Oreochromis niloticus: one gene and its partner. The protein of the gene in region 1 interacts with the protein of each later gene in a pairwise test. Links are inferred from orthologs where the notes say so. Each region holds a gene or a part of one and is shown on either strand. Other genes may lie near its edges. The genes, in order: gadd45ga and tsnax.

Region 1 (15,099 bases):
TATGTAAAAGAGAACAGTGACATTAACACATCTTTGTTCAATCTGTATCACTTACACCACAATAATGTATCACATTATTTTTTGTTAAATTACTTGCCTTTCCAAAAACTGAAAAAGTGCAGGTCCTGAAATTTTGAGACAAATGAAAATTAATACAAAGAAAAACAAACCATATGAACATATCTGTTATCCTGAGATCAACCTTGCAATGCTGATCAACAATAACATATGAAACAGCATAAATGTGAACTCTTCATTTAAGTTTAATAGACTTCAGAAAACATTTTGGGGCACTCCAAGTACCCACACTCTAGTGATGTCCAAACGCATGATGCGGAAAAATCTTTTGGTGCATTTTTCTATGCCAACAACATAACTGGTAGCAGTTAGATTTTTGGACATACAAGTGCTAACTAACACAGTCCTTTTTAATGTTTATTTGCTAATACACTATCACTAAGTTCTAAGTTTTAAAATTCACAGTGCAAATTACTGTAATCAACACTATAGTTAAAACCACAAGCACTAATTCACTGTGTATAATACACATTCCCTACCTGATTTATTAGTATTAATAATGTTATACTCTGTTGGATATACATTTTGAGTGGCTCCTAAACCACAAAGACAAGCTGTTAAAGACCGTTGCTCTGAACGTATTTACAATCATTATCACAATCACAACGACATGAAAGACTCATTGTGTCAAGCCAATGAAAAATTTAAATCTGGTAATACCCAGTGCAAATGCTTAAAAGAGAATTTATGACCTTATGTGACAAAAAGACTTTTGTGAGATGAGTTATTTATCATGGTGAACACTGTTACTTATTATGGTTGTTTTACAACTAATCAACCAAACATGGATTTTGTTTTAACGTATTTTTTCGTACTACAAAATGTTACGTATCTTTCAATTATCTCAATGTGATATCACTTCTTTTTCTTAATGAATATTTATATTTAAAAAAAGATACAACATCAAAAGTTTTAACTACGCTTAAATGGAGTGTGTTACTTTAAATGTACGCCTAAGAGTACAAAATCTAATCTTAGGTAGGCTATATGTTATATTTCTATATATATATGCTCTCCATCGGTTAGTATATCAATATTATTAAAGTTTTCAAATTCTAAAAATTATGATTTTAGACACATTTCTGGATGAAGACTATATACAAAGCGCAAACAATCTAAAACAATTTTCTATAATTAGACTGAGGAAATAACTGGCATGAAATGGCTAGAATGTTCTCGTTTCTTGTTAATAGTTCAATTTTTAGTGTTAATTACTCACCTTTCCATTTTATTGTTGGTGGGTAAACCGAAAATTTTTGTCCACGTAGGCCTCGAAGAAAAGTTCAGTGTACTAATAATAAGTATATGTAATGACAGCGTAACCACATATAACCGTTCCTGTCGCAATGAAAGCTACGTTATCTGTCCGTACGATGCAACGACTCAATAAATACCGAAAGATCAAAGGTGGGTTGGCTATATGTCATGTGACTCTTGTCCCACACATCAGTTTGCATTGAATTAACAAAAAATAATAATTTAATTCTAATAATGAAGCAAAAACTAAAAAATGTTAAGGCAATGTACAACCTTTTAATGTCATGTATAAAATATAATCAAAATAGTATTGGCAGAAATATTTCTATGAGTTACAGTATGAAAAAACAAAAAAATGTATGAAACCTGCAATCAAAAGGCAAGATATTGTATAGGTAATTCATAATATTAATGTTAAAGACAATGAGTGTCAGAGAAAAAGACAAAAGCATATTGCTTAAAATATATTGTAAAAGATGTGATAAAGACTTCATATAAATTATGAGAATTGAAAATTGTTTTTATACCTCTAAGACTACTATTACTTATAGTAACATGAAAATTAACAAACAAAGAGGAAAATATTATTTTCTATTGGACAAGTGAGTGAGTTAGATTTTCAACGTTTGTGCACTTAACATATTTACTGAGACAATCAAAAATGAGCATGGAACAAGATCTGTTGCATGCCATGGCATCCAGCTCTGTGTTTTCTGTTACTCTTGTCTTTCACGTGTCAAGCCTCATTCTATTGTCCAATGCAAAGGTAATTGGCATGTCTCTATTGGCTGATCTGGGGAACAGTAGACCAATCGCTTGCCTGGGATAATTTAAAAAAACAGCTCCCAGGCCAGGTTGGCTTCTGACTGTCTTTGAACTTTTGTTAGTAGGTGTCTGTGTGTGTGAATAGAGTGTTTGGGTGTGAGGCTGGACAGATAAGATCGGAGTACCCCAAACACATTCAAATGAGCTTTAAGTGTTAAAAACACTAGGTTAGGCAGGTGATGACACTTTTGTATCCTGTGACTGACCTTATGTGTCAAGCAGCTACACAGGCCTTTGTTTTGCATATTATTAGATTTCCACTTTAGGGAAGCTGTTGGCATCTTTTTGTTTTAGTAATGTCTTTGATCTGGCTCAGCCGCCCGGTTCTCGTCCACAGCCTGTTTCTTTTGTTAAGCTACTTTTATCAAGGCATGGTAAATGAACAGTAAACCTTGCCTGATGACTAATCTTCCCGTTTCCCTCTCATTGATTATTTGGGTTGTCATGCAGAAGTATTAAACAATGCCTTTTATTAGAACATAAGCATTTAATTCAGTAATTTTATTTGAATTAGTCAAATATGAGTGGGCAACTCTGACCATGACAAGACTGCATTTGCTCTAAAAAATTAATACAAAATTTAGACATATTGTTGTCATTATTTTTACTCTTCAATTTTATGTGTTTTTTCTTTAAGATGGTATCAGAAGTTGCTCCTCCACCATAAAAAAAACCATCTGCATGTATTCTTTCACTACATCCACGATTCTCCTCTGTGGTCTTCCTCATTCATCCTGTTTGGAGCTTAATGTTCAACATCCTTTATCTATTAAAATTACAGAAGGAGAAGAAAATAATCATCAGAGCAGGAGTCATGATAAATGATAAATAGATTACTAGTACATACAAACATAACACTTGCATAATTTCTCTGATAACGCTGCATTGGATGGGTTTATTAACGGTGGGCTGAAATTGTACTACAGTATGCTGGTGAGGAACTTATTTGAGTGTTGAATAAAATGTCATCCGCAATCTGTATATGAATTGTCATTAAAACCATAGAGATTCTTACTTATAAAGGAAAGAAAGGTGGGACAATGCACATCAACATATAGTGTATATTTTTGAACATTACAAAGATACAGGTAATTCTGGGTTCACCTGAATTACAGATTAGACTGGTGGACAAGCAGAGATGTTGTGTACAACTGGTGACAGCATCAGTGACAGGGATGCCAAAAGGAAGAACAAATTAATCAGCAAGGCTGGAAGCAGAATTAGGAGGCGTCAGAGTCAGTGAGGGTCAGAGATCAATGAACAAATTGCCCACCTTCATGGATAATGCATCACCCTCAAAAGGATTCAAAATTTGGGCCATGAAGAACAGTTCAGGAAACCTATTTTATTGTTTCATCTGCGAAACTGTATAAATGAAATGTAAATTTTGTTAAAGGAAAACACATTTGTAAGCCATAAGAAACAAACATGCTTTGCATTATACCTTCAAACATCTGTATAGATTTCATACAATATTTATTAACTGAATTTCCAAACATGTCTTGCATAGTGAGAGTATTTCTTTTACTGATGATATGTCAATGATATGTATTTTTATGACTAAATAATACTCTATCGAACACCTGGCAATAACAGCAGGTGTAGCAATTTTGTAATTAGTTGTTTAAATTTGATATTATTTTAGGCAGTACATTTTCTTAGCCTTTGTCATACTCTGTTAACACAGCAGTCTCAAAAACCGTACAGTAAATTTGTCTGTAGATGACAGGATGAAGAGTGGACATGGCCTAGAGTCAGAATCCAGTGAAATATCAGTGTCACCTCTTATACTTTTCCTGTAATCTGAGGTCAAAGATTTGAATATATAGAGTACAGTAGAGTAAAATGTGCAAAGTTTACTATCAATTTCTCAAAAACCGTACAGTAAACTTGTCTGTGGATGACAGGGTGAAGAATGGGGGTCACCTAGAGTCAGAATCCAGTGAAATATCTGCGTCACCTCTTACAGTTTCCTGTAATCTGAGGTCAAAGATGGGAATATATATAGTACAGTACAGTAAATAGTGCAAAGTTTACTATCAATTTTCAGGAAAACCGTACAGTAAATTTGTCTGTGGATCACAGGGTGAAGAGTGGAGATGGCCTAGAGTCAGAATCCAGTGAAATATCTGCGTCACCTCTTACAGTTTCCTGTAATCTGAGGTGAAAGATGGGAATATATAGAGTACAGTAGAGTAAAATGTGCAAAGTTTACTATCAATTTTCAGGAAAACCGTACAGTAAATTCGGCTGTGGATCACAGGGTGAAGAGTGGAGATGGCCTAGAGTCAGAATCCAGTGAGATATCAGTGTCACCTCTTATACTTTTCCTGTAATCTGAGGTCAAAGATTTGAATATATAGAGTACAGTAGAGTAAAATGTGCAAAGTTTACTATCAATTTTCTCAAAAACCGTACAGTAAACTTGTCTGTGGATGACAGGGTGAAGAGTGGGGGTCACCTAGAGTCAGAATCCAGTGAAATATCTGCGTCACCTCTTACAGTTTTCCTGTAATCTGAGGTCAAAGATGGGAATATATAGAGTACAGTAGAGTAAAATGTGCAAAGTTTACTATCACTTTTCTCAAAAACCGTACAGTAAACTTGTCTGTGGATGACAGGGTGAAGAGTGGGGGTCACCTAGAGTCAGAATCCAGTGAAATATCTGCGTCACCTCTTACAGTTTTCCTGTAATCTGAGGTCAAAGATGGGAATATATATAGTACAGTACAGTAAATAGTGCAAAGTTTACTATCAATTTTCAGGAAAACCGTACAGTAAATTTGTCTGTGGATCACAGGGTGAAGAGTGGAGATGACCTAGAGTCAGAATCCAGTGAAATATCTGCGTCACCTCTTACAGTTTTCCTGTAATCTGAGGTGAAAGATGGGAATATATAGAGTACAGTAGAGTAAAATGTGCAAAGTTTACTATCAATTTTCAGGAAAACCGTACAGTAAATTCGGCTGTGGATCACAGGGTGAAGAGTGGAGATGGCCTAGAGTCAGAATCCAGTGAGATATCAGTGTCACCTCTTATACTTTTCCTGTAATCTGAGGTCAAAGATTTGAATATATAGAGTACAGTAGAGTAAAATGTGCAAAGTTTACTATCAATTTTCTCAAAAACCGTACAGTAAACTTGTCTGTGGATGACAGGGTGAAGAATGGGGGTCACCTAGAGTCAGAATCCAGTGAAATATCTGCGTCACCTCTTACAGTTTCCTGTAATCTGAGGTCAAAGATGGGAATATATATAGTACAGTACAGTAAATAGTGCAAAGTTTACTATCAATTTTCAGGAAAACCGTACAGTAAATTTGTCTGTGGATCACAGGGTGAAGAGTGGAGATGGCCTAGAGTCAGAATCCAGTGAAATATCTGCGTCACCTCTTACAGTTTTCCTGTAATCTGAGGTGAAAGATGGGAATATATAGAGTACAGTAGAGTAAAATGTGCAAAGTTTACTATCAATTTTCAGGAAAACCGTACAGTAAATTCGGCTGTGGATCACAGGGTGAAGAGTGGAGATGGCCTAGAGTCAGAATCCAGTGAGATATCAGTGTCACCTCTTATACTTTTCCTGTAATCTGAGGTCAAAGATTTGAATATATAGAGTACAGTAGAGTAAAATGTGCAAAGTTTACTATCAATTTTCTCAAAAACCGTACAGTAAACTTGTCTGTGGATGACAGGGTGAAGAGTGGGGGTCACCTAGAGTCAGAATCCAGTGAAATATCTGCGTCACCTCTTACAGTTTTCCTGTAATCTGAGGTCAAAGATGGGAATATATAGAGTACAGTAGAGTAAAATGTGCAAAGTTTACTATCACTTTTCTCAAAAACCGTACAGTAAACTTGTCTGTGGATGACAGGGTGAAGAGTGGGGGTCACCTAGAGTCAGAATCCAGTGAAATATCTGCGTCACCTCTTACAGTTTTCCTGTAATCTGAGGTCAAAGATGGGAATATATATAGTACAGTACAGTAAATAGTGCAAAGTTTACTATCAATTTTCAGGAAAACCGTACAGTAAATTTGTCTGTGGATCACAGGGTGAAGAGTGGAGATGACCTAGAGTCAGAATCCAGTGAAATATCTGCGTCACCTCTTACAGTTTTCCTGTAATCTGAGGTGAAAGATGGGAATATATAGAGTACAGTAGAGTAAAATGTGCAAAGTTTACTATCAATTTTCAGGAAAACCGTACAGTAAATTCGGCTGTGGATCACAGGGTGAAGAGTGGAGATGGCCTAGAGTCAGAATCCAGTGAGATATCAGTGTCACCTCTTATACTTTTCCTGTAATCTGAGGTCAAAGATTTGAATATATAGAGTACAGTAGAGTAAAATGTGCAAAGTTTACTATCAATTTTCTCAAAAACCGTACAGTAAACTTGTCTGTGGATGACAGGGTGAAGAATGGGGGTCACCTAGAGTCAGAATCCAGTGAAATATCTGCGTCACCTCTTACAGTTTTCCTGTAATCTGAGGTCAAAGATGGGAATATATATAGTACAGTACAGTAAATAGTGCAAAGTTTACTATCAATTTTCAGGAAAACCGTACAGTAAATTTGTCTGTGGATCACAGGGTGAAGAGTGGAGATGGCCTAGAGTCAGAATCCAGTGAAATATCTGCGTCACCTCTTACAGTTTTCCTGTAATCTGAGGTGAAAGATGGGAATATATAGAGTACAGTAGAGTAAAATGTGCAAAGTTTACTATCAATTTTCAGGAAAACCGTACAGTAAATTCGGCTGTGGATCACAGGGTGAAGAGTGGAGATGGCCTAGAGTCAGAATCCAGTGAGATATCAGTGTCACCTCTTATACTTTTCCTGTAATCTGAGGTCAAAGATTTGAATATATAGAGTACAGTAGAGTAAAATGTGCAAAGTTTACTATCAATTTTCTCAAAAACCGTACAGTAAACTTGTCTGTGGATGACAGGGTGAAGAATGGGGGTCACCTAGAGTCAGAATCCAGTGAAATATCTGCGTCACCTCTTACAGTTTCCTGTAATCTGAGGTCAAAGATGGGAATATATAGAGTACAGTACAGTAAATAGTGCAAAGTTTACTATCAATTTTCAGGAAAACCGTACAGTAAATTTGTCTGTGGATCACAGGGTGAAGAGTGGAGATGGCCTAGAGTCAGAATCCAGTGAAATATCTGCGTCACCTCTTACAGTTTTCCTGTAATCTGAGGTGAAAGATGGGAATATATAGAGTACAGTAGAGTAATTTGGGTAAAGTTTACTATCACTTTTCAGGAAAACTGTACAGTAAATTTGTCTGTGGATCACAGGGTGAAGAGTGGGGGTCACCCACAGTCAGAATCCAGTGAAATATCTGCGTCACCTCTTACAGTTTTCCTGTAATCTGAGGTCAAAAATGAAGATACTATAAAAGTACAGTACTGTATATTGGTTAAATTTTATTGTTAATTTTCGCTGAATTGTACAGCAATTTTGGCTGTGGATCATGGGGTGAAAAGTGGAGATGAACCAAATTTGGGAGTGGATTGTAAAGTAATATAGTGTCAGGACACAAAAGACTGCGTTTCTTAGCCGGGCTTCATCCGTACCGTAATATACGTAAGAGTAGTGCAACCACATTTTAGGTGCGGCTGGCGGGGCGGCTAGCTTGACTGTGACTTCGTAAGTGAGGGCTCACTTGACCGCAGTGACGCGCCAAGCAGGTGCACCGGGAACCGGTTGTTTATTAAGAGCAATGGAAAGCTGCACAGGGAAAGTTCGGATAGATGATATATATAAATATCTCCCCAGTGACTCTCCAGACTGGGGAAATCCGCTAGTCCGCCAAAGGATTGTTCCAGAGTTTATCACACATCAAATTAATCGTCACTACTGTTTTAATGCGGCTCACCCACAGAAAAAAGATCCGCCAATTTTCCCTCGGCTAATCCGCACACTCAGTTCTGTTGTCACCTGTAGGATAGTCTGAATTCTTCTATGCCCACTGTGGAAAAACACGAGGCGTAATAGTTACATAATTCCAAAAACCGGGGATGTTGCTATCGAATGGTAAATAACGCCTCTGCAAACGATGATAATAATAATAAATAAAAGAGAATCTCTTAGAATGTCTGCGCTGTGACCTATGTGTTTTCTGACTATCATAAACATGTCAGCTTGTCCAGGGGCAAACTGAAGCCACAGTGGTTCAAAACAAAACAAAACAAAACAAAAAAACTTCATATCACCGTGTTGTTTGCAATGACTGTGAAAGTTCATCGTAAACAGGACTTGTAGTTTTTGCCCTTAGTGGTGATGCTGGATGTTGACAAGAAAAGGAGAAATTGGGAGTGGGTGGGGGGGATTTCTTGAAAGGTTGTAATCTTGCCCCACGTGGGGCTGTCAACAAGATCAGTTCGACTGCTCGGGGACTTTTTTTCGCTTTCCTCACCATAAGCTCCTCTGAGCCAATGGTAGGAGACAGGCTCGGAAAGACCGCCCCTTGCCGAGAAACGACGCCAAGTGCGGTATAAAGCCACCCACAGACCGTTCAGAGCTCAGAATAACGCAAGAGACTACACAGACAGCTACACAGCCTTTTCTTAACACTGCAACATCCCGATTGCGCTTGGATTATAACTATGACTCTGGAAGAGATTCACGGACAAGAGAACACAATGGAAAACGCTGATAGGTGAATATTTTACTCATCGATACAACGTTATTTAAGCTCCTGGATTAAAGCGCTGTAGCTGTTATTTTTGGGGAGGGTAATGTGATCAGTGTGCTGATGATGTATTTTTCTTTGTTAAGGGTGCAAAGTGCAGGCGCAGCCCTGGAGGAGCTGCTGATCGCTGCTAAGAAGCAGGACTACCTGACAGTTGGAGTTTACGAATCTGCAAAAGTCATGAATGTGTAAGTATTGCATTTCGTGCCACTTTCAGTTACATTTGCCCTTTAAAAAAAAGAAAAGAAAAAAAAAGTCGAGCACACGCAAAGCAGGATATGCACTAATCACCTTTCTTGTCTTTCCTACAGTGACCCAGACAGCGTGGCGTTCTGCATTCTCGCCACCGACGAGGAATACGAGTGTGACATTGCTCTTCAGATCCACTTCACTCTCATCCAGGCGTTCTGCTTTGACAACGACATCAACGTGGTGCGTGTCAATGATATCGACCGCCTGGCCGACCTCGTGGGTGCAGATGAAACAGGCGAGCCCAAGGACGCACACTGCATTCTTGTCACGGTACGTTCCCACTCAGTCAGGAGCTGGCAGCTAGTGAATCATGCATGCATCACTACGGTGTCTGACTTTTTTTTTTGCATGTCTTGTAGGTGTTGCCACTTTTCTGACTCTAAATATCTCCCTCTTTTTTTTAACAATTACAGAGCCCTAGTGCAAACCCATGGAAAGACCCTGCTCTGGACAAGCTGAGTGTGTTCTGTGAGGAAAGGCGCAGTGTGTATGACTGGGTGCCCACCATCACTCTCCCAGAGCGCTGAAGTGACACCCCCCTGCAGTTGCTTCACATGATTATGATGATGATGATGAAAAGAAAGTCAAGGAGCTGAGCTTCAGCTGGGGGGCCTCATGCCTTTCTGCCTCACATGTCTGGATTAAGAGGCTGTGGCTGTAACTCCCCCCTTCTGCAAGAGCACACTCTTCCAGTGCATCCTGGGTGAGCCCGTTGGTTCTGGATTACCCTGTGCAAGGGTTCAGAGCTCATGTGTGGACTTGTTCAGGTGTATGTGGAGTGGACAGAACGCCTGAAGGACACTGAGAATGGAGCTGGACTGTACTGCATAGTACATTAAAGATGGCAAATGGTGACCCAGTGACTGCCCTTTAACAGACACTGGTGGGACTAAGCAGAGAAGGTCACAGAGAGCGATACTTTGCAAGAGATGGACTTAAGAAAGTGGACTGGACTCGTCAGAGGGGGAACAAGTCAGGTGCAGATCCAGAAGAAGGCGTCTGAAAGTGTCTAAACAAAGGACTTTTCTTTATGAGTGCAGCTGTCAGGAAGTTCTTGGAATAAGCAGAAACTGCTTGCAAATCCTGATGTAAAGCTGACACTTTTTTTAATGGACTATTCAGTTTTCTTTCACATGCAGACAGAGCAATGCAGTATTGATTTGTATTGTACTGACTTGAAATGCTTTGTGAATAAACATTTGGAATCAAACTCATCTTCTCAGAAATCTCATTTTCTCCTTTGCATTTAGCTACACAGACATTAACTAACACCCAGGGTGCCACATAATGTGGGACGTCATGGCAGACTGCAATGATGCAGAGGTATCAGGAAAGTGTGGCGCTACTGGTTACAACTCTGCTTCACAAGAAGCTAATCGCACAATGTGGGTGGAAGGAAAGTAAAGATCAAATGATTGGGTGGCAGAGAGAGAGAGAGAGAGAGAGAGTAAAAGAAGAAAAGCGAAGCTAACAGTTATAACGTAATGATGATTGAAACGTGGGCTTTTTTGCAGGCACTGACCTTTTACTGCTGATAAACCAGCTGCCTTATAGCACAGTGCACAATTACTTAGGCTGGAACTGAAGCCTGTGTGTGTGTGGCTAACTAATACGTCAGTAGACAGTGAAGTTAGTTGTAGTTTAGTATATTCAAACAAAGTTGTTACAAATTAATTTAACATCACTCTTCTCATGCTTGATTTTTATTTTTAAAAAGTCAATTTTCAACAACTTAGGACTTATGCATAATACCTGGTAACAAATATAGGGAAGGTCTTCCTATTCCTGCAGCCACGTGCACACACAGCCACATGCACATTGAAAATTATACCGAGATGAGAGCTGCAGCTGAATGAGGGTCAGCAGATCAACAGCGGCAGGTATGGGGAAGTGTGTGAGTGCTGCGGTCAGCTCAGAGCTCAAGCTGACAGTAAAAGGTAGCCCACATCAAAGAGAAACCAGACTTCAGAGGAACTCATTTCGATTTTCTTGGCAGCACCTCAGTCTCCAGCCAACCGCTGGTCATTCTCTGCATGTGTACTCGCATGAGCTCGCATGAGCACACAGGTGCACACAAAGCATGAAGCAAAACAGGCTACTGCATGTGCACACTCTTGCACAAAGTTGTGCTCAAGATCATGCATAGCACACATGCACACACAACCAAAGGATGCTGTGTTAGACAGATGTCAGGTGATTGCTCAGTGTTCTCAGAACAGAGGAAGGTTCACTCAGTCAGAATTAAAGAAGAAAAAAGAATGCAGACTTGTATCTGGGGGACTTTCCATGGGCTTTAATATCTGCACTAGTAGGCATATGGGAGACTTGGGAAAAATTACCATGAATGCTAAATGATAAAAACTAATCATTTTATTGCATGTGCTGTCAGATTTGTAGATTGGGACTATACGGGCTTGTGGGACAACGATATGAAGACTAATGTGGTTGGTGATCACTTGTTGTCTGTGGTTGGTGTGCACTGGATTCTGTGATTAAACATGAAACCTAAGCATATCTGAGTGAGAGATGATTGTCCCTACCTATAAAAGTCCCAGCCAAGTCACAGGTCAGATGAGGAAACATGTAAAACATTTATAACAGAGGCCTGAAGAAATAATTCGATTATTTTTTCTTTATTTTCCACACCTTTCCAAAAGGCTTTTTGTCCAAACAGGTCAGTGTTCTTCAAGTAGCCTTCTTTGTTTTCTGCAATAAAAATAAAGAAAAGGCGCAGCAACAGCAGACACAGTTGTGTCTAATCTTGACCTGTTTTTGCAAAAAGCAATATTTAATGCCCCAGATAAGACCTATTTTATCAAGAATATAAATGTTGACTAAATTATGTGGCCTGAGTAAACAAAGTGTCGTGTTCGTACAGCAGTCACAATTAAGCATTTAGAGTATTGTTAACTAAATCCTTGACCTAGTTTAGATAGAAGTTAGACCAATGGTCTTTGGTATAGATCTGATTTTTCTTTGTTATCTCTAAAACATGCAAGTATGCATCTCTCAGGCCTACATACAGCAATAAACATGCCTATATTATGCATAATATAGGCCTAATTCCTTGAGCTTCAGCTCATACAAGCACTATGCAAGACTAGAAAACAGCGATATGCTTGTATTTATTCTGCATTACTTTTGGATACAGGTATAATGTGTGCTACAAGAGAACAAAAAACTAGCTGCTGGAAAGGACTTCTTGTCTCTCCTGCTGCTATTTGCACGGTAGTAACAAACATCTTCTCCCTGTGTTGGCTGGGATGCCAAAAGCCTGGAGCAACAGTCCAGACTGCTGAGGCAGCCGACTGTCTGCACAGAGTCTGAGCCAGAGATCTAGAGCCACGATAGACTGAAAGTGAGGCAATGAGACCAGACAGATGTAGTCTGACTTGGGAATATTAGTGTTTTCAGCTGTGACACAGAAAATGGTAAACAGAGTAGTTTGAGTAGTAGTTTGGTTTTTAAATTATTTTAATTCCAGTAAGGCTATTCACTGGATTTATTCTGCACGAGGGCACAACACTTAGCCAGGAAAGGCATTTTCTCTACTTGAAACTTTTAATGCTTTTTCCAAATGTTACAAATTCCACCTTGTACTGTTAGTAGAATAAAAATGTCACATGTGTGTTTAATCTGTCCAAAAAGCACTGTAAAGGGGCTATGCACGGGACTTTTTTCTGGGTCAGTGCAGTGACTTACTGGACACTTTAAAAGCTGCATGGATCATTCCCCATAATGGCAAAAACTCTAGATGCATGCGATAAAGCTTCCGATTGAATTGCGGTATATAACAGTTTTATGATTTTCTAACCAGCTCTCAGCAAAACAGTTCATTAGCTAAAATGGAAAGCTACTGTTTTTGAATGTGAGCTGTATTTGAAAGCAGAATTACTTTAAGATTGATAAATTGTGAAAAAAAGATCCTATTTCCAACTTAGAAACAATTCCTAAACTGATGAATCTCCTTTAGTTGACACTGACGCACTTGAACAAGCCTGGCGGTTGGTAATGTGATAACCTTTTGTTCATCCATCCATTTTCTTCTGCTTATCCAATTCAGGGTCACAGTGGGGCTGGAGCCTATCCCAGCTGTCACGGGGCCAGAGGCTGGGTACATCCTGGTCAGGTCACCAGTCTATCACACATAGAGACAAAATACCATTCACACTCACAACTGAGGCTAATTCAGAGTCAACAGACAATTTAATGTGCAAGTTGAATTACCCAGAAAGTAACTCCACACGGAAAGGCCCCAAGCTGGCCGGTGGATTTGACCCCAGAACCTTGTTGCTGTGAAGCAACAGTTCTAACCACTGCATGACTGTTCAGCTGAAAATGTGAAAATGTGATGATGCTAATAGGGAATGCCTTGCTTTCGCCTGGCTAAGAGCAGAACTGTGTGTTGTGCTGTGATGTCAAAATATCTAAATGCTGCTTTTTTTGCCTGGGGAAATGATACAGCATGTTTTGCCATCTTGGGATACCCCAAACATTTGCAGGCTTGTGGTTCAACTGTAAATATTCTGCCCTTCTCAGATCCATTACTTTCACGGCTAACTCTCATATTCCTGCTTCAGTCCACTTACAGTAACCACCGCAAGATGAGATTACGCGACGAGCCGGCAGGCAGCATCCCCTCTCACCCCACCCATCTCCAGCTCTCTTGCTCGCGCTTGCCCAGATATGGTACCATGAGATCACGGCCCAGCTGGCCCTGGCAGGCTGCGGAGAGAGATAGAGAGATAGCTAGGCTGACTGCTGGTGTTGGGTGTCTCTAATCTAAGTATGGGGTGTGTGTGTCACTAACTGGAGAAATGAGCTGCACCCTATCTACTTCTGCAGTTCACTGTTTCTCACCATGAGCTCATTCCACAGAAGCTATGTGATGAACCGGCACAACATGCAACTTTTAGAAGGCCTTAGATTGACGGCGCTGGGAATTTCACATTGCTGTGGTGGCCAAGGTGATTCCATAACAACAATATGTAAACACACTTTGGCTTCTGTTTGTGAAGAGTCACTATCAGTCTGTCAGTATGATATCACTCAGGCGGTTTTTGAGGTTTCAGTCAGGCTGGGGTAGCTGTAAATGTCGAAGCGCACACATGCTCACACCTGAGCTCGTGGGATGACCGCACCACACCGACAGGGATGAGATCACATGACATAAACCTCTCAGTTGAGCGGTAATGATCGCACTTATCTTTCAGCAGAGCCTATAATCACACAGGGCAAAACAGCTGTGTGTAAGCAAAGGGGAGGGTGACCAGGTTAGAAGCACACCCACACAAACACACACCTGCCCAACACTTTAAAGATCCACTGTGTCCCTTTGGGGGGTAGAGTGACACACACACATATGCAGCAGGTCATTGCAGATGAGCTCATGATACAAACTTAACTACTGTTAGTATCAATTACCACACTTAAGCCCCTTGTGAAAGCCAAGGAGACCTTTCTCTCTCTTTTTTAATATATCAGCTGAGCAGAGATCTTTTTTTTTTAAATTTAGAAGTGAATCCATCCACTACCCACCATTTGTACAGGATGCAGTCGTTTGGATGTTTGTTTTCAAATTGGTATGTCTGCAATTGCCTTGGGATTGCATCAGGGTGTTTGTTCAGTAGCAACTGAATGGATTGACTGGATGAAATCTGTAACTTCTGAGTGAAATATCTATAACATTAGCTCTTATTGCTTGTTTTCCTGTTTTCCCAGGGTTCCTAAAAAATATATTATATAACTCATGACACGAGTGACCTCATGCAAACCTCAGCAGTTAAATTTAGATCACATGATCCAAGTGCCAAATTTCTAATGTGATTGTGCCTGAAGTGATTTTTTTTTCACAACTAATATTTGACATTTGTGAAAATACTTTAAGGTGAGTGTATGTAAGATCCAAACACACAAATACAGGAGATCCAAACATACAACAAGCGTTATGATGCCAAATCCATTGATCAGATGAGACTGCGGATTT
Region 2 (16,078 bases), on another chromosome or scaffold:
CGACGCTGCTGATGCACATCCGCATCAGCTCCCCTGTTAGGTCGGCCACCCCCAGCAGGTAGTCGGACGGCGTCACCTGAAAGGTCAGGACCTGAGCGTTCACCGGCATCGCTTCAGCTGAGCCCTGAGATGAAAACAGGACAGGAAAGAATATATTCTGAAAAGTTGGGCCTTTATATAAAATGTCAACAAAAACAGAATGCAATGACCTGCAAATCTCATAACCCCATATTACATTCATAGTAGAAGACAGAAAACTACATGTTTAAGGCCGTGCATATTCCAGCAATACAATTACAGTTGTATTACACGTGAAACAGTGTGGCTTCAATAGACGAGTAGAAGAGCCCTGCTCCTGCAGTGACCTTCCTGAAGTTGGAATCTTTCACCAGCTGAAAACATCTGGAACGTCATAAAATGAAAAATAACACAGAAAAGACCCAGGACTATTGAGCAGCTAGAACTATATCAGACCAGAACGGGACACCATTCCTCTCCCTGAAGTTCAGCTGATCCCCTCAGTTCCCAGATGTTTATAAACAGCTGTTAAAAGAAAGTGGGATGCTACACACTGGTAATTGTGACATTAAGACATGCTGCTGGCACCAATTTCAAAATTATCTTATTTATTTCCTAAAACTGTGCATTTTCTGAATTTAAACATTTTATATGAAATGCCTTTAATGCAAATTAATGAGATTTAAGTAATTTTGTGTGGATCAACAGACACCCACCAACTGTAAAAAATAAACAGTCAATCTTGCTTTAGAAAAGGAAAAACAATCCAAAAATAAAACCACTCTGGCCACAGCCAAAAACATTAATGTTGAAGTTTCTATATTTGGAGTCTCCAATCTAACAGTGACCTTACAGTGGCTACATCCAAGTTTTATTTTATATACACTCTCTGAGCCAAACAGAGTTTGATACCAAGAAAGCGACAAAATATAATTTCCAGAATGTCACAGTTCTTTTAAGGACTTTTTGGGGCTTAAGAAAATACTTCACAAATTGTTAATGTTCAGTCAGTCCTCTGTGGATTTACCTTAGGATCTGCCTTCTCTGCGTTCATGAACACCAGCCTGGCGTTGATCTCTTCCAAGCTGATAAGGCTGCGATGGCGGATGTAGTGCAGGAAAGAGACGGCTTCCACGTATTCCTGAATCCCTGATGAATTAAAGTACATTAAAATGGATCTGAGTAAAACAATGGCATGTTCACCTGATTATTTCACTGTGCTGCTAAAACTAAATTTGACAGTGGCTGGGGCATTTTTTTGCAATTTACTAAAATGACCATGTATCAAATGAGCGTAGCAAGCAGAGCGTGCAGCATCAACATGAAATCTGCACAGTATAGATCACAGATGGAGATAATGATTCAAATAAAACCTGTTTCCTGTCTCTATCTTTTGATAGAACAACAGTGGCTGTTTTTTTTGGTGGGCTAAGATGACCCCTCATTTGTTTTCTGCCCCTGGGTAAACAACAATCCAATAATCACAGGACGGAAGACTTTGTGTCTGAAGTTTACTTTTGGAGCGGCAGTTGAACTTCAAAGAGCCTGCTATCTCTCCCTACTGACCGCAATGCGCTGCACGGAGCCAGCAAGAATACTTTATCTTCACTGTACTCTGAATAGCTTTCACCACTCTGATTATGATTTCAGTCCAGTCACACCAGCATGTACACAAAGTCAAAGGCAGTGGGACGACCGACTACACAACACTAACGTGCAGGGAAAACATGAAAACTGTAAATCGCAGCTACTTCATTATTTGGATTTGTAAAATAAATGCATAAAATCTATCGATGATCATCTATATTATGTCATCATGACTTCACTTTAACGTTTTGTTTATTATAAAAAATTATAGAAAAATCACTGATTTTTTTCTATTAGTTTCTTAGTAACTGACAAATCACAAATTCACCTGCTGAGACAACAGCAAAATCTGATACTCAGAACTTCAATTTGATAATTACCTAATAACTCTACGTACAAACATAGAAAAGCATTTGTGTCTTTAAAAAAAAGACTTATCAGAACCATATCGCAGCATTAATTCTCAAAGTTGTATGGGTTACATGGAAACATTATGTCAACAATTTGCATTTGATTAACTGAACTGATCTGAACAAGCTGGAGCAGAAAAGTTAACAGTTAACCAAGTATTGCAAAAGCAACATAAACTAGCATATTAAGGAAAACGAGAAATAATTTGAAAAAATTAGATGAGATGAATTATCAATTCATTATCAAAAAAATCTTTTTTAAAGAAAAATAAATTCTTATCTAATCACTGTAACTGTTAACAGTTACAACAAAGTAGCCAGTGGTAAAAAAACAAAAAACAAAAACAAAAAACAAACATTTTTATTCTTTGGCTCTTAACCCAGAGTGAGAGCTTAGGTATTTAGGCTGTTATATTATTGCTTGTATTTTTTGTAATTCCTTGAATGTGCTTGTTGATGTGTGTGTGTGTGTGTGTGTGTGTGTGTGTGTGTGTGTGTGTGTGTGTGTGTGGAGCATGTCTTACTTTAATTCTGTAACTCTTTGTTTCATGTTAGTCATCTTTGTTGTTTTTATGAATAAATTTGGATTGAAAACATTTTTTTCCTTTTTTTGCTAACAGTATAGTTAGCAGTGAAACATTGTTACTTAAAATTGTGCATTAACAGTTGAAGTGAAACTGAGTAGTTTGTAAGTGTAGTTGCAACTTTAAGTTGAGGATTAACTAGTAATAGTTACAAACAGATGGTAAACTGAAACTTGTTTACCTGGAGTACATAATTTTATAGTACTGTTAAAGAGTCTTTAGCCACTTCTCATTTCTTTAAATTGTTTTTCTCCAGGCTTTCTAAAGGTCTTTTTTCCTTTTTTTTTCCTTTGCCCATTGGCTACTTTTTCACTTATATACATAACATAATTTTCTTTAGGGATTAATAAAGTATTCTGATTCTGATTTTCAGTCCAGTGCTTTGACCTGACCATTTTCAGAGGAATGTTTTTGGATTGTTAAGCCACTTAATGCTGACATATGAAATTCGAAAATAAATAAAAGCACCTAACTCAATTTTTCCATGCAAGATATAAAGAAATGAGGGGTGGCTAAAGGCTTTTGCAAAATACTGTATTTTATTTTATGCTTACGTCCTCCCAGTGTTTATTTGGCAATTGTTTTCGACTCTTTAAACAAAAAAATGCTTACCAGCTAAACACTGCCAGTGGATCCACTTTCACAGAGGGAACACCACAGTCCAAGGCAGTTTAAATAAGGCTTTGAGGCAGGCAGGCAGAGCCCAGTTCCTGCACTTACTGTCAGGAGTTGTTTATGTCTATACTGAAGCAGAAGTTACCTTTGGTCAACGAGGCTCGCAGAAACCTTACAGAACATCGTGTCTAAACAGTGACTAAGAGCTACAAAAGTGGAAATTTGAGAGATTTTACTGGCATGGTGGTAGGAAAAGTTGAGAGGCGAGGGTGCGAATATAGCTTGGCAGGATCAGATCTTGAGTAATGCGCAAACAGTACCGTTGCGGTTTGGCGCACATTCATGTACTGAGAATACTGAGGATTTTTGGACTGAGCTAATGTTTGACCACAGAGCGGTTCACTGAATTGCAGGTGAGCCACGTGAAAAGTTCCACATGATAATGTATGTTTGCACTGACTCATAGCAGCTAGCAGGGTAAAAAAAAAATAACAACAACAACAACAAAAAAGCTTACCCAAATGCCACGCTGCTCTGTTATCAGTGGCAATTATGGTCAGATTTAGCCCACAATATCTTTGATGGTCATTATATAAAAAAAACAGACCCATTACACATGCCTGGAGACTTCTCCTCCAGCCAAGATTATCTGGAGGGCCCGTGCATCGAGCCCAGCCTCAATCTAATAAAGACGATGAAAATGGGGAAAAAAATAAAAGGGCTAATTGGTGGGAACTGGCATTGGTCACGTCGCGAAGGATGCAGCAGTGATTCCTGTGTGACCGCAATCTAAAAATGACTTCCCCAGCTGCTAGATAACAGCTCCCACTGCCAGTCATGTTTTTCTCCTTCCCTGCAGACATTATGGCTACAGTAACAAAAAGTGGTGCTTATGCTAGTTTGAAAACAACTTTATCAGAAGGCGTGACCATCACATCCAGGCCTGCATCAAGGTCATGCTTTAACACTGTCACTGACTTTTATTGAAGATGAAAGAAAATCATTTAAGTACAAACCATAAAAAAGAAATTATTAATTACATCAACAGATAAAAAAATATATATTATAGTTTCATATCTCACCTTAACTCTAGATTTCTTTGTCTACTTCTTATTTTGGGTGATTGACACTATCGTCACTCTAAGGCAGTTGAGTGAACCAATCAGAAGTAAAGACTTTCTATCAGAGCTGCATTATACAACGCAAGCTAGTTGTGCTAACTTTCTGTACTTAATGGGTTTGAATGACCTTTTAGGACCTTCCACCCTATTATTATATTAAACGTATATTTATTAGAACCCTTACTGTACTTCATGAAGATTAAAACAGCAAAATAATACTTACTGCTTAATAATAAGAAGGAGATTCAATGAATGTGAGCTATAATTTTTGCAAACACCTCTAGTGGAATTTACATCAGATATGACCTAAGTGAGTCACACACAAAGGGCCACGTGCCTTGTATCCCATGGCACCGTAATCTAATAAATCCACTTGGGTGTGGCAGGAGACTTTAAACAGCCCATTAACCATTTTAGAGTGAAAAAACACCACTTTCAAAGAATTCAGTTTCTTTCAGAATAAATATGTGCTTTATATATAAACGAAAAGAAGTAAATGACCACTCACCTGGTGTGAAGGCTCTGTGAAACTGATAAATATCCTCTCCTCTCAGCTCCTCAGCAATCTGCCCAATCTTCTGCCTGACTCCATCCAGCTTTATGTCTGCCTCGTTCAGGATATCCACTGCATCTGGTACACTTTACACACAGAAAAAAAATGTTAAAAGGTACAAAATACATATAACTACTTATTTTGTTTCAGACTTACTTTGTTGCATGACCACTAAAACTAATGCCAATGTATTTATTGTTTTTACTTATCCCTTTTAAAGATCATTTACCATTTTAAGATTATTTTCCCCCTGTGAGGCTCATTAAAGTCCTATTACATTTTTAGCTGATGCTGTTCTGAGATCTTCATTGACAATGAATTATATGTTTTGTCAAGATATTTTCATATTATTCCAAAGCATATATTCAAACATTACAACACTCCTAACACAATATCTGTACTGAATAGAGACAATGTAAATGATAGGTAGGTTATTTTCAAAGCTGCCGTTTACATCAATTACATAAAAAAGACACTCTGTAGTATCCAGACACCAACTAAAATCAGAAGCAGGCCCCATTGAAAAAAAATGATATACAGTTATGTCTGAAGGGTTTAGAACAATGAGAAAATCAATATGTGCGTTCAGCGTTAATTCAAGGGGATTAACCCAAATTTTGCATTAAATGTTAGTAACTACAGATACTTCTGTCCTGAGCCGCCCCTCATTTCTTCATATTTTGCATCGTCATTTTTTTTAAACTGGTCTTGAGCAATAGTTTTCCAGGCTACTGAATGTTTCTCTTTTGACATTGGCTGCTGTGCATATCATTTACTGCGTGGCTCATCAGAAATGGCCACGGCGGAAGGGTGACTGTCAATAATCATCCACTTTAGTTGTCTTCTGTGGACTAGTTAGTATGTTTTGTCTTTAATAATGTATCAGATTGTTGATCTGGCTTTATCTTTGACAGGTTTATTTTGTTTTCTTTTTTAGCCTAATGATGCCTAATGATCTTTTTTGGCCTTGGTGTTTAAAATTAAAGTGAAAAACTATAAAATCCTAATTTCAACATGTTGAATGAACTTCAGATATCATGTCTGCTGTATTTATCATGAAATAATCTAGGAAGAGGCCTCACCTGAACTGCCTCAGTCAACAGTACAATTACTGGGCCTCTGAGAATGGGGGACTGTGGATAAAAGTGGCTGTAATTCCTACACAGTTAATGCAATATTTTTGTTAAACCCCTTGAATTTAAGCTGAAAGTCTGACCTTTAATCACATCTTGATTGTTTGTTTTAAAAATCCACTGTGCTGGTGCACAGAGGCAAAAGTACAAAAAAAGTACTCATCCCAAAGACTTATAGACTTAACAGTACTCATTTATGCGGTGAATATTGTTGTTAAGAACACCTACGTGGTCACTCTGTGCAGAAGAAATATGGTTCTCTTGCTTTCAATTGTGACGTCGCGACTAATCTTAACAAGACGCTCATATTTGTCATGTTTGGTGTCGAGCTCCTGTTGGAAACCTTGAAATACACAGAGAAATGTTTCAGTGCAGGCAATATAACATTGAAACCATTTGGGTGCAAAGTGCAGTGAGAATACTGCTGTTACCTTTGAAGGCAGCCATGACAGACGAGGGGTTGGCACTCATTTCGTGCTCCTGTGCTGCATCTGCATTTCTCCGTGAACACCCCTCACCTGACAGTAGAGATGATGTCATAGTCTTTAAATAATAACTGCCTCTGACTTTTTGGTAAATTGAAAAAACATACAATAAATCTAACTCCCAGAATTCCACAATGACAAATGAAATGCAGTAAAAAAAAAAATAAATAAATAAAAATAATAGAGAACCCTCTTTAAAATGTGGTTGGAATATTCAAGTGACCCAAAATATAACCTGCAACAGCTGACATGATCTGTTGATATCTTAAGAAGAGAATGCCTAAATTCACCTTTTTACTTATAATTATTAAGCGCCTGCTTGGATTGATGGCCAGTAGGGATGAGAAAAAATATGGACACAGCATAATATCGTGAATTTGTATCGCTACAGGGACACCAAATATCAATATTTTATTAAATAAATTAAAATACTTAAGGAATACTAAAAATGAGACGGCTCATCTCATGCACCACTTTGAAGAAACATCAAACACTGGACACACTTGGCTTGACAGTCACACAAATAAAATAGGACAGTAAATTTCTTGTATGTACAAAAAAAATGACAACAACAGTGGCTGCCTGGTGAGATTTTTCCCATTCAGCAGCCAATGGCAACTTGTAGTGACCAAATGGCTGCTCAGAGTTTGAGTGCGTGAGTGTACAGATTGCATGTAATTGCCAACTTGACCCCATTCAATCGGAGACTGATAGAAACATTTATGGCAGATTTTAGTGACAGTGTTGGCACGCATTATAATCTCGCTTTTGCAGCAAAAAAATATTGAAAGTGAGTTAACTTTATTTAAAATGATGCATACACTGCAGTTGAAAAAGACAAATGTGATACTTAGCGTAATGCAAAACGTTAAAAAAAAATCACAATACTATTGTATCGTAGGTGACGTATTATGATGATATTCTCTTGTGGGGTTTCTCGTGATTCCCACTTCTAATGGCCAGACAAATAAAGCACTAGTATGTGCTTTAGATATTTTAATGGAACAGGATTAGCACTTTATTACTTCTGTTACTACCATGAAATGATTTCATTAACCTGACTTAGGCAGAGTAGGTAGGTTAAAACGCTATCACATGTTAGTCCTACTGTTATTTTAGCCTCGCTAGTTAATTACAAAACTCATGAAACTAGAAGGAAGAAATCTTGGACTTACCTTCTCGTTTATTCATAGCTTCGGTGTTGTAGTGCACAGTTTTTAGGGGTGTATTTTAACCACTAACGCCAGTGCCAGTCAAACGTAAAGGTTGAGCATTATTACAAACAAAGAACAAAATAGTTCCGCTTTACGCAGAAAAAATAATGTTCTCTGGACGATGGAAAACAAAATTAGTAGAGCCTGCATATATTTTAACGCGAATAAAACGGTGTTTTCTTGGTTTTAATAACAGGCATTGGTGCGGACCTCAGTCCATCGCGGGGCTTTTGCGCTGTTTACACGCGTAGCAGGAAATTCAAAGAGATGCATCACGGGATACGTAGTTAAATGGCAAAATCAGGAGTTAGTTTTATTACAATGTTTTCCTTATTACTAATTTTTAAATAATTAAATAATTTTTAAATAATTAGAATCTGATTTTAGAAAGTAGCGAAAATATCTGGCGTAATTATATAACAATTGCATTTATAATAATAACACAATTTCTTAAAAACAATACAAACATATAATAGCTACATTTATAATAATTACATAATAATCGCTTTTTATGACGTTATAAACGTTATAACTATTAGGTAAGTTCTTGAAGATGCCATGTATACTAATTAGATATTCCCATACCAAATTTAAAAAGAAAGGTGTGCCACACAGAACTTTCTCTTTCCAGTCAAAATTCAAACGTAGAAATTCTCCAGACTATCAACCTAAAATAACAGGTATCTTAGATATTCCATCGAATATCTAAATCAACGTTTAGCAGATTACTTGTCTTTTCAACAAAAAGTTCCACCCTGACTTCTTCCACAGATGAGTGAAATGTCTTTACTGGATGCCCTGCAGATGTGATTTGTGATTGTTTTCTGTTAACCATCTGTGCATCTTTTTGAATCTTGGCCACTGCTGTGTGATGCTTACTGCATACGTTTGTTTTCATTCATTTTTCATGATTATTTTCACGTCTCAATTTAAAATTTGGTGTCTCCCTGTGGTCATCTAACATCACCGAGAAGTTGTTTTTTCACTTGTGATACTTCTTTCATCTTTTTACAACCACTCTCTTGGGATAAATGTACATATCATCACGTTTGGGTTTACTATCTAATTTTGAGTGACAATTGGGGTATTTATTTATTTTATTTATTTATATTTTCTATGTGTCATTGTTGTAACTTTGTATCTCTTTAAGTTCACTTTGTGTCTCATTTTAGTCATTTTACATCTTCGTATTGACATTTGGTCTCTTTACTACCGTTTTACATCTCTTTGGTGTGTCATTGTGGATGATTGTTTTGTGTATATTATATTTGTGGAATGAGACCAGGACCCAGATGAAAAAAACAAAACAATGTAACTTATCGTTGTGATGAATGACAGGTGTTTGTCATAGAATATTTATATGAGTATCTCCATGCTTCATAAAATTTAAAATGTTATCCATTATGGCTTCCAGTAAGTGATTTAAGTCACCGGTCTGTCACAATCCTAAGTTTCATAAACTGCACACCACCCAACTTATCTGTCTATCATAACAGCAGCAAGCTCTTTAACTTTTTGTTTGTGCGAAAGGAATTTCACCTATGCGAGCCAGGAATGAGAGCACAACACATTGCTGCTGACTGGAGATGCCTTCAGGTGCTCCCTTCAAGCTCCTACAAACTGATTTGTGCCAAAAACTGGTTTCCGATTCTTCTGTTTTTATTATGTCTTTTTTCTCATAAATAGACTATAGTCAACAGGAGTCACGAAGGGGTTATATATAAAACGAAGAAACGACTTGTTCTGCAAAAAATCTTTATGACTCCATCTTATTGCATCAACATCATGATTATAATCCAGTCCCTTTTGGCCAATTAAAATATCTTTATAGAAGTGTGATGTTAGTTCTTGACATTTTAATTTTAACGACATATTTGACTTGCTTAACATCACAAGGTGACAGGGCTCAAAACGATTTGCTATCATTCATGAGTGGTATGTTTAGCAGATTATTAGTCATTTGCAGCAACGTAAATACCTCCAATTATGTTTTTATTTTTATTATTATTTTTTTGGCACATAACAGAAATCACTTTTTGGCACGACACAGGTTTTTAGATGCTTCTTTTGCTTAATATAGAATAATTACAACAGCACAACCACACTCAGGTAGACAAATGCTCATCAGAATCTGGTTTCTTACTTTATGATTTAGGCTATATGATACTATTGCTTCGATAGGAAATGCGCACAAAACGAGTCAGTGATGCTTGAAGCAACACTTGCCATATGGCTATATCTCTTTTGCTTGTCCTTTCCACAAATCTGTAAGCGGTTTGCGTCAAATTTAAATGACAGCGCTACCTTTAATTTGCCATTACACAGTATTGCAGTGTTACAGTATTGGGGAAAGTAATAAAGAAAGCAACATTGGATTTATAACCTATTATACTGGATTGTGTACTCAAAGTATAAAAGTGCATTTATGTCCTTTCAGTCTGTTGCACATTTTGCATGTCGGATTTTTATTTATACCTATTACTGCATGGTTGGTGGAGCTAATTTTCTGCACTGTTAGAGAACATGAATATATTGCATAACTGAAACAGATAGGGTAACATATTTACATCACTTTTTACTGACTGACCAGAGGCGCATGCTCCCTTTATACCCCCGACAAGACTTGAACATGAACTTCCACGTGTCGCGAGCACGCCACTTTTTCACCGCCAACTGTCTGTCCGACCGCACCTGAAGGCAGCACGAGAGAGGCGGTGCCTTTGTGCTGACGTCAGAGCGGGCCGGTCCTCGGGCAGGGCTGGCTGAGCACACTCTGAGCGGCGCCATCCATTACCCCGGGAAGTAGAGCTAGCTTGCAGAAATGCCTCCCAAAGACCTCGACCCACCCCTAAATGCTGGTCCGTGGGCGCACGTTGTCGTGTTATTCCACTGACACACGAGGCAGAAAAGGACATGAGTGCGATAAAATGGCTGGGTTTTGAGTGTTTGGTTCCCCTGGGTATCAGCGTGGCAGCGGCGGCGGGTCGTTTCCAAAGTTGTCGATTAGCAAGGCGCGTGAAGGATCGGTATTAAAGGAGCAGTACGCCTCCTGTATCCTCAAAACATGGAGAAGCCGCAGAGCGAGCTGGACCGAGACCGACAGTACTGTGAACTTTGCGGGAGGTTTGATAACCTTCTTAAGTGCGGTAGATGCCGCAGCTCCTTCTACTGCAGCAAGGAGCACCAGAAGCAGGACTGGAAGAAACACAAGCTCATTTGTAAGGAGGCGGACAAGCCGCAGCTGCCTGCACAGAAGCCCGAGCAGGCACCGCAGCCTGGGGACGACGAGACGCCTGAGAAATGTCGAGAAGAGCAAAGCCCCGAGGAAGCGGACAGTGCAAACACAAGTACAAACACAAAAGCACTGAGAATTGAAGTGAGAGCTGAACATAATAGGTCTGACAGCACTGCCACACCTAACGGACAGAGCAGCTTATCCCCGCAGAAACTTGCCTTGGAGTGCATAGTGCCGTGCATGAATAAGCACGGCATCTGTGTGGTGGACGACTTTTTAGGAGCAGAGATCGGGCTGGGCATTCTTGAAAATGTCAAGGCCCTGTACGAAACTGGCAAGTTCACGGACGGTCAACTGGTGAGTCAAAAGAGCGACTCCACTAAAGACATCCGAGGTGATAAAATCACGTGGATCGATGGCAAGGAGCCCCACTGCGAGAGGATCCAATTTCTAATGAATCGCATGGACGACCTGATTAGACATTGTAATGGCAAACTGGGAAACTATACGATAAATGGAAGAACAAAGGTAAGTACGAAGCACACGCGCACACTGCGCATCTACTGCATTCATCCCCCAGGAGCCAGAGGCTTGCTGGTGTGACACCTGCCACACACACTACAAGGTCAGGAAAGCAGCAGTACTCTGGCTGCGTGGGGATGAAATCAAAAGTACCACAGATTTCTAACAGGGATGCATCATTCTGCAGAAGCTTTTTTTCCTCCCACTTTGTCGTTAAGGTGCTATTAGGTGTAATAGATCAGCCCTGTTTGCTAATTAGATTCGACTTTGCGGGTTAGAGGCTGCCGAGTCCTCTTCTGGCTTTGCTCTGAGTCAGAAAGGTGATTGCTGGTGCTGCTCACATGTTAATGGTTTTGTTTTGGACGCATGAAGAGTGTGCACAGACAGCGCACGTGTTCGGTCGCCATGGCAATAGAAAGACACCCTCAAATCATTGCTTTAAATAAACGCAATACCTCAACCAATAAGAAAGACTAAATTTGGATAGATCACGTGTCTGCAGCATCTTTGAATCAAATGAAATCCAGCTGAAATCTAATGAAAGCAAAGCACGAGGCACATTGTTGTCTCGTGGCTTTTTCTAGCAAGCAGCTGCAAGCATATGCCATGCTGGACTGTTTATTCTAGCCTAAAATGATTTAAAAAAAAAAAAAAAAAGTATATTAGATGTGTAAATACTTGAGCTTTCTGATGCCTACAGAATATATTCCTTAATCCATATTATCCATAGATTACTGCTCAAATCCAGTCCTCACTTCTACAGGTTGCACTCAGTTTCTTAGTTATTATGCAAAGTAAATGCACCTAAGACAAAAACTGCTAAAATCCTCCCTCCATTAAGTGTGTATTGTTCATATTTTGAATGACTATTGGTTTTTAGATGTGTTTCGTAGCTGTTTAATTATGTTTGGTGCTCTATTTAAAATAAACGTGATGGGGAAAGAATCAGATATAGAAAGCACAGTCTCCAAATCAGGGATCAGATTTCGCTGAAAGCACCTTAGTAAGCAGTGAATAGCGGAGCTATTATGTTGTGACAGACTGCGTTAGTTTCAGGAAGGTCATTCTGACCAGTGAGACGACTAACACAGCTAACACATGCTGCCACATCCACAAACAGCAAAGACAGTCCAGCTCATCAGAGTGTATATATTGCATTCATATGTTTGTACTTTAGCTTTTGTTTTTGGTAAAATGTGAGTGATGTGAAGAAGCTGCAACCATGTGGCAGAAACCAGCCCGAGGCCCCATTCTACTGAGAATTTACTGCGGCTCACTATGACCTCTGACATCGCTTTAGTGGTGACAGGTTGTGGTGATAAGTTCAGTGTCACGCACAGACGTATTTGGTTAGGCAGCATTCCCATACTGAGAAGAAAACCTGTGTGTTTCTGGGGGAAGAGGAAGCTGTGGGTAGCTTCTGTTTCACTAAAATGTGTTTTCTAAGAACTTGTTTTTAATTGTCGGATGTTCTCGTTTTTTCAGGCTGAGCTGCTAGGGTTCAGAAGCTCTCCTGGCACCTGGTTTGTTTTTTCCTAACTGTTAGTGCTGTCTAGTGGATAAAGATGGTTGCGTGTGACCTGCGACTCTTGACAGATCTGGTCACCATGGCCTTATAGCATGAGACTGCTTCAGGAGAGGACGAGGTGCTTTCCGGCTTTCTCCTCTTCCTCCTCTTCTCCTGAGGGAAATTCTCTGAAAGCTATAGTCACTATTAACTAGAAGTTTAGCAACATCACTTTGAATCTGGCTAGAAGCAAAAAACACTAAAGCAACGGGCCTTTTATTATAATATTAGAGAAATAAACCAACTTTGTAGTCACACAGTTGATGGAGTGGATGGAGCCATCACAAATATCTGCTCTCTTGGTTGAGAATAAATAAAAGCTGCTGGACTGTGAACATTTTTTTAATGATTTTAGTTAATATTATAATCTTGATTGTTTAATATAATTATTTATTAACCTAAACATCAAGCTGTTTGAGATTAAATCAGTTTTTCAGAGCGATTTCTTTAGTTTTTAAATCTAATTCAAAATGAAAAATAAATAAATCAGTGAATAAGAGGTGAGTGGGGTGGGGAATACGTGGCCTAGGTTTATGGCTAAACTGACAGGTATTTTTGACCACAAAGTCTTTTTCACAAGGGTTAGGGTTTTCTGCCTACACCACAGGAAGCTTGCTGCTGCTGGTGGAGGCTGTGCCGGCTGTGGGCTCGTACACTTTAGGAGACCTGCACAGAGGCCGTGAAGTGAATAACAAAGAGCTGAAGCTCACAGCTTTACTTTCTCCAGATAAATCACTAACACTTTGAAACTGGTTCAAAGCATTGCAAACCAGCAGGTATTTTTACTGAGATATTGGAGTAGTACATAAACTTAAAGGTCATTTGGGAAAATGTAGGGTTTTTTGTAACGTTTTGTCCAAATCGTGTGTAGATTAAACATGATTTAACTTCAGAGTTAACAAACACCATATAGTGAAATCAGCACATTTTTTAGAATAGTTTAAAAATAAGTAAACATTATGACATTTAATAAGGTCAGATTTCTTGTAGAAGTGTTATTAAAATCTGGTACATTTAAAAAAAAAAAAGGATTAAAAAAAATTTAAGGTCTTATTAACAGTTATTGCATCTAATGGTTTTTTTCTTTATGCCACTTAAAATAATAATTTTTCCATCCAGTTAAAAAATTAAAAACAAATAAATAAATAAAAAGTTAAAAATTCAGATTATATATACATATATGTATATATATATATAAATTTCATCTTAGTAACTTGAAATTTCAGTTTATCATATCAAAAGTTTGAGTTACTAAGTTGAGATAAGTTTGACTTATACATGGCAAAATAAATACAATTTAACAATTAAATGGCAGAAAGCAGCCTTTCGTAGCTCTTTGAGTTTTACCACAATTTCAGTATTTAATATCCTGATCTGTAAACTTATTTTATCTTTTTACTCTTTTGCATATAAAAAACTCCTTTCTGACAAGCTTTAAGCAGTTTTGAGGACTTCTTTGATCTTTGGCCTTGAGATGTGTTTGTCACATCTTTTTAGAGGGAAATAACAGACTATACCAGAACTGGAATTAGCGCTTAAAAATGATACACTAAGAGTAGTCCCTGATCTACTTTTGTTACATCATGTTCTGTTATAACAGCTCTTGACATTTAAAGGATCTAGTGGTGAAACAGCCCACATTCGATTGAAGTCTGTGGCCTTTACTCGCTCCAGGTACTTGTTTTTCTGTGCTGGCACAGCTCTAGTTGCCGTACGCTGTTATTTTTAGGTTGCTTCTCCTGTCCAGTCGGTCCCCCCTCTACTCCCCCCCTCGGCTGTTTCTTAGTAGGCCTAAATGTTTTGGAGAAAGCACATTATTTCAGGTTGTGCTGTTGATCCACGCAGCTGGCCGCTCACTCACACTCTACTGAGAACTTGACTTCCTCGCCTACTGCCCTAGTTGCCTTGGCAAACACACGGCTGGACTGTGACCAGCAAATATCAGCATGACTTGCACAAATGGAAAGGGCGCAAGTATCAATGGCTCAAAGGGATACGACACAATGTAAGCACAATTCGCATTGGGAGAGACAGAGGAAAAAGATTTTGCCCAAATAGTTATTAAATGCCATTGTTTCCATTTCCCCCGTTCACTTGATAACACTGTGGGAAGTTGCAGGCAGCGGGACATGTTTGTTTCTTTGCAGATCCAGCATGTTGAATGCTCTCTGATACCATTTAAACATTATCCGGAAACCTAAAGAAGCTTGTAGCAGCAACATAATTGTCCTGTTACTGACTTATTCCACGCTACCGTTAGTCTGTCTTACATGATAAAAGAATAGCCAGCTAAGCTAAGGCTCCATAATAAAACACCCTTACTGCTACTTTTCAAAGCTGACATTATTAAAGTTATGCCGTTCACATGAAACATGATAGCCGTGTTAAGCATGCTGAAATATGACTCAGTACTGAATTTAAACACTGTATATACTGTAATGAGGTCCCACAGCGGCTCAAGTTTTCAAATATAATGCAGCCCAATACACACGAGGGAGATGTAGCTCCTGATTTGTTTGTTTTTTTGGTCCTTTTTTTTCATGTGATAGTCAGGGCGCTGCAAAGCTACACATATCTGGATTCCAGCTGCATTACTGTCTCAAACATGACTCTTTATTGTGAAAAACAACGGGTCAGCTGTGGAAAAAAACATCCCCCTGTAACATAACTGTAGGCAAGCCCTAGAGACAACAACAAACAAACAGTTTTCTGGGCTTGCTTTCTTTTAGTGCTTCCTTGTGTATGCGATAATTTTAAAAGTTGTTTCAGCAAGGAATACATCCCATAGATATAATTTAATTGTGTGCATTTGCAGGTTTTGTTAGTTTTAGTTGTCTGTAAATGCATTGTAGTTTGGTAATAGACTGTTAGATTAAAGATAAACATTTAAATATGTTGTGTTTGCTTTTTATATTGTCTTTGGGCACTAATTGATTCATCAAGAACACATTTGTAAATTGTCAAGAAAAGGACGACTTTTAAGGAAGTTTAATTGTAAAGCTGTTACTGATGTAGGCTGTGAGCATGTAATACG

Evidence for each region.
Region 2: the proteins of gadd45ga (region 1) and tsnax interact in binary tests that used the Homo sapiens proteins (3 or more experiments, as listed by UniProt). The two-hybrid records come from large-scale screens. The link is inferred for Oreochromis niloticus from reciprocal best matches to the Homo sapiens genes GADD45G and TSNAX.

What each region holds. Positions count from the first base shown.
Region 1 is NC_031977.2:23,396,776-23,411,874, forward strand, and holds gadd45ga (growth arrest and DNA-damage-inducible, gamma a), read left to right. Parts: upstream 1-8,667; 5' UTR 8,668-8,775; coding exon 8,776-8,828; intron 8,829-8,947; coding exon 8,948-9,049; intron 9,050-9,172; coding exon 9,173-9,383; intron 9,384-9,526; coding exon 9,527-9,640; 3' UTR 9,641-10,206; downstream 10,207-15,099. UniProt on the Homo sapiens protein: Involved in the regulation of growth and apoptosis. Mediates activation of stress-responsive MTK1/MEKK4 MAPKKK.
Region 2 is NC_031978.2:23,830,714-23,846,791, reverse strand, and holds the start of tsnax (translin-associated protein X), read right to left. Parts: upstream 7,966-16,078; 5' UTR 7,698-7,965; coding exon 7,682-7,697; intron 6,540-7,681; coding exon 6,453-6,539; intron 6,365-6,452; coding exon 6,250-6,364; intron 4,975-6,249; coding exon 4,844-4,974; intron 1,168-4,843; coding exon 1,046-1,167; intron 125-1,045; coding exon 1-124. Other genes in the region: egln1a (egl nine homolog 1), read left to right, coding at 10,785-11,483.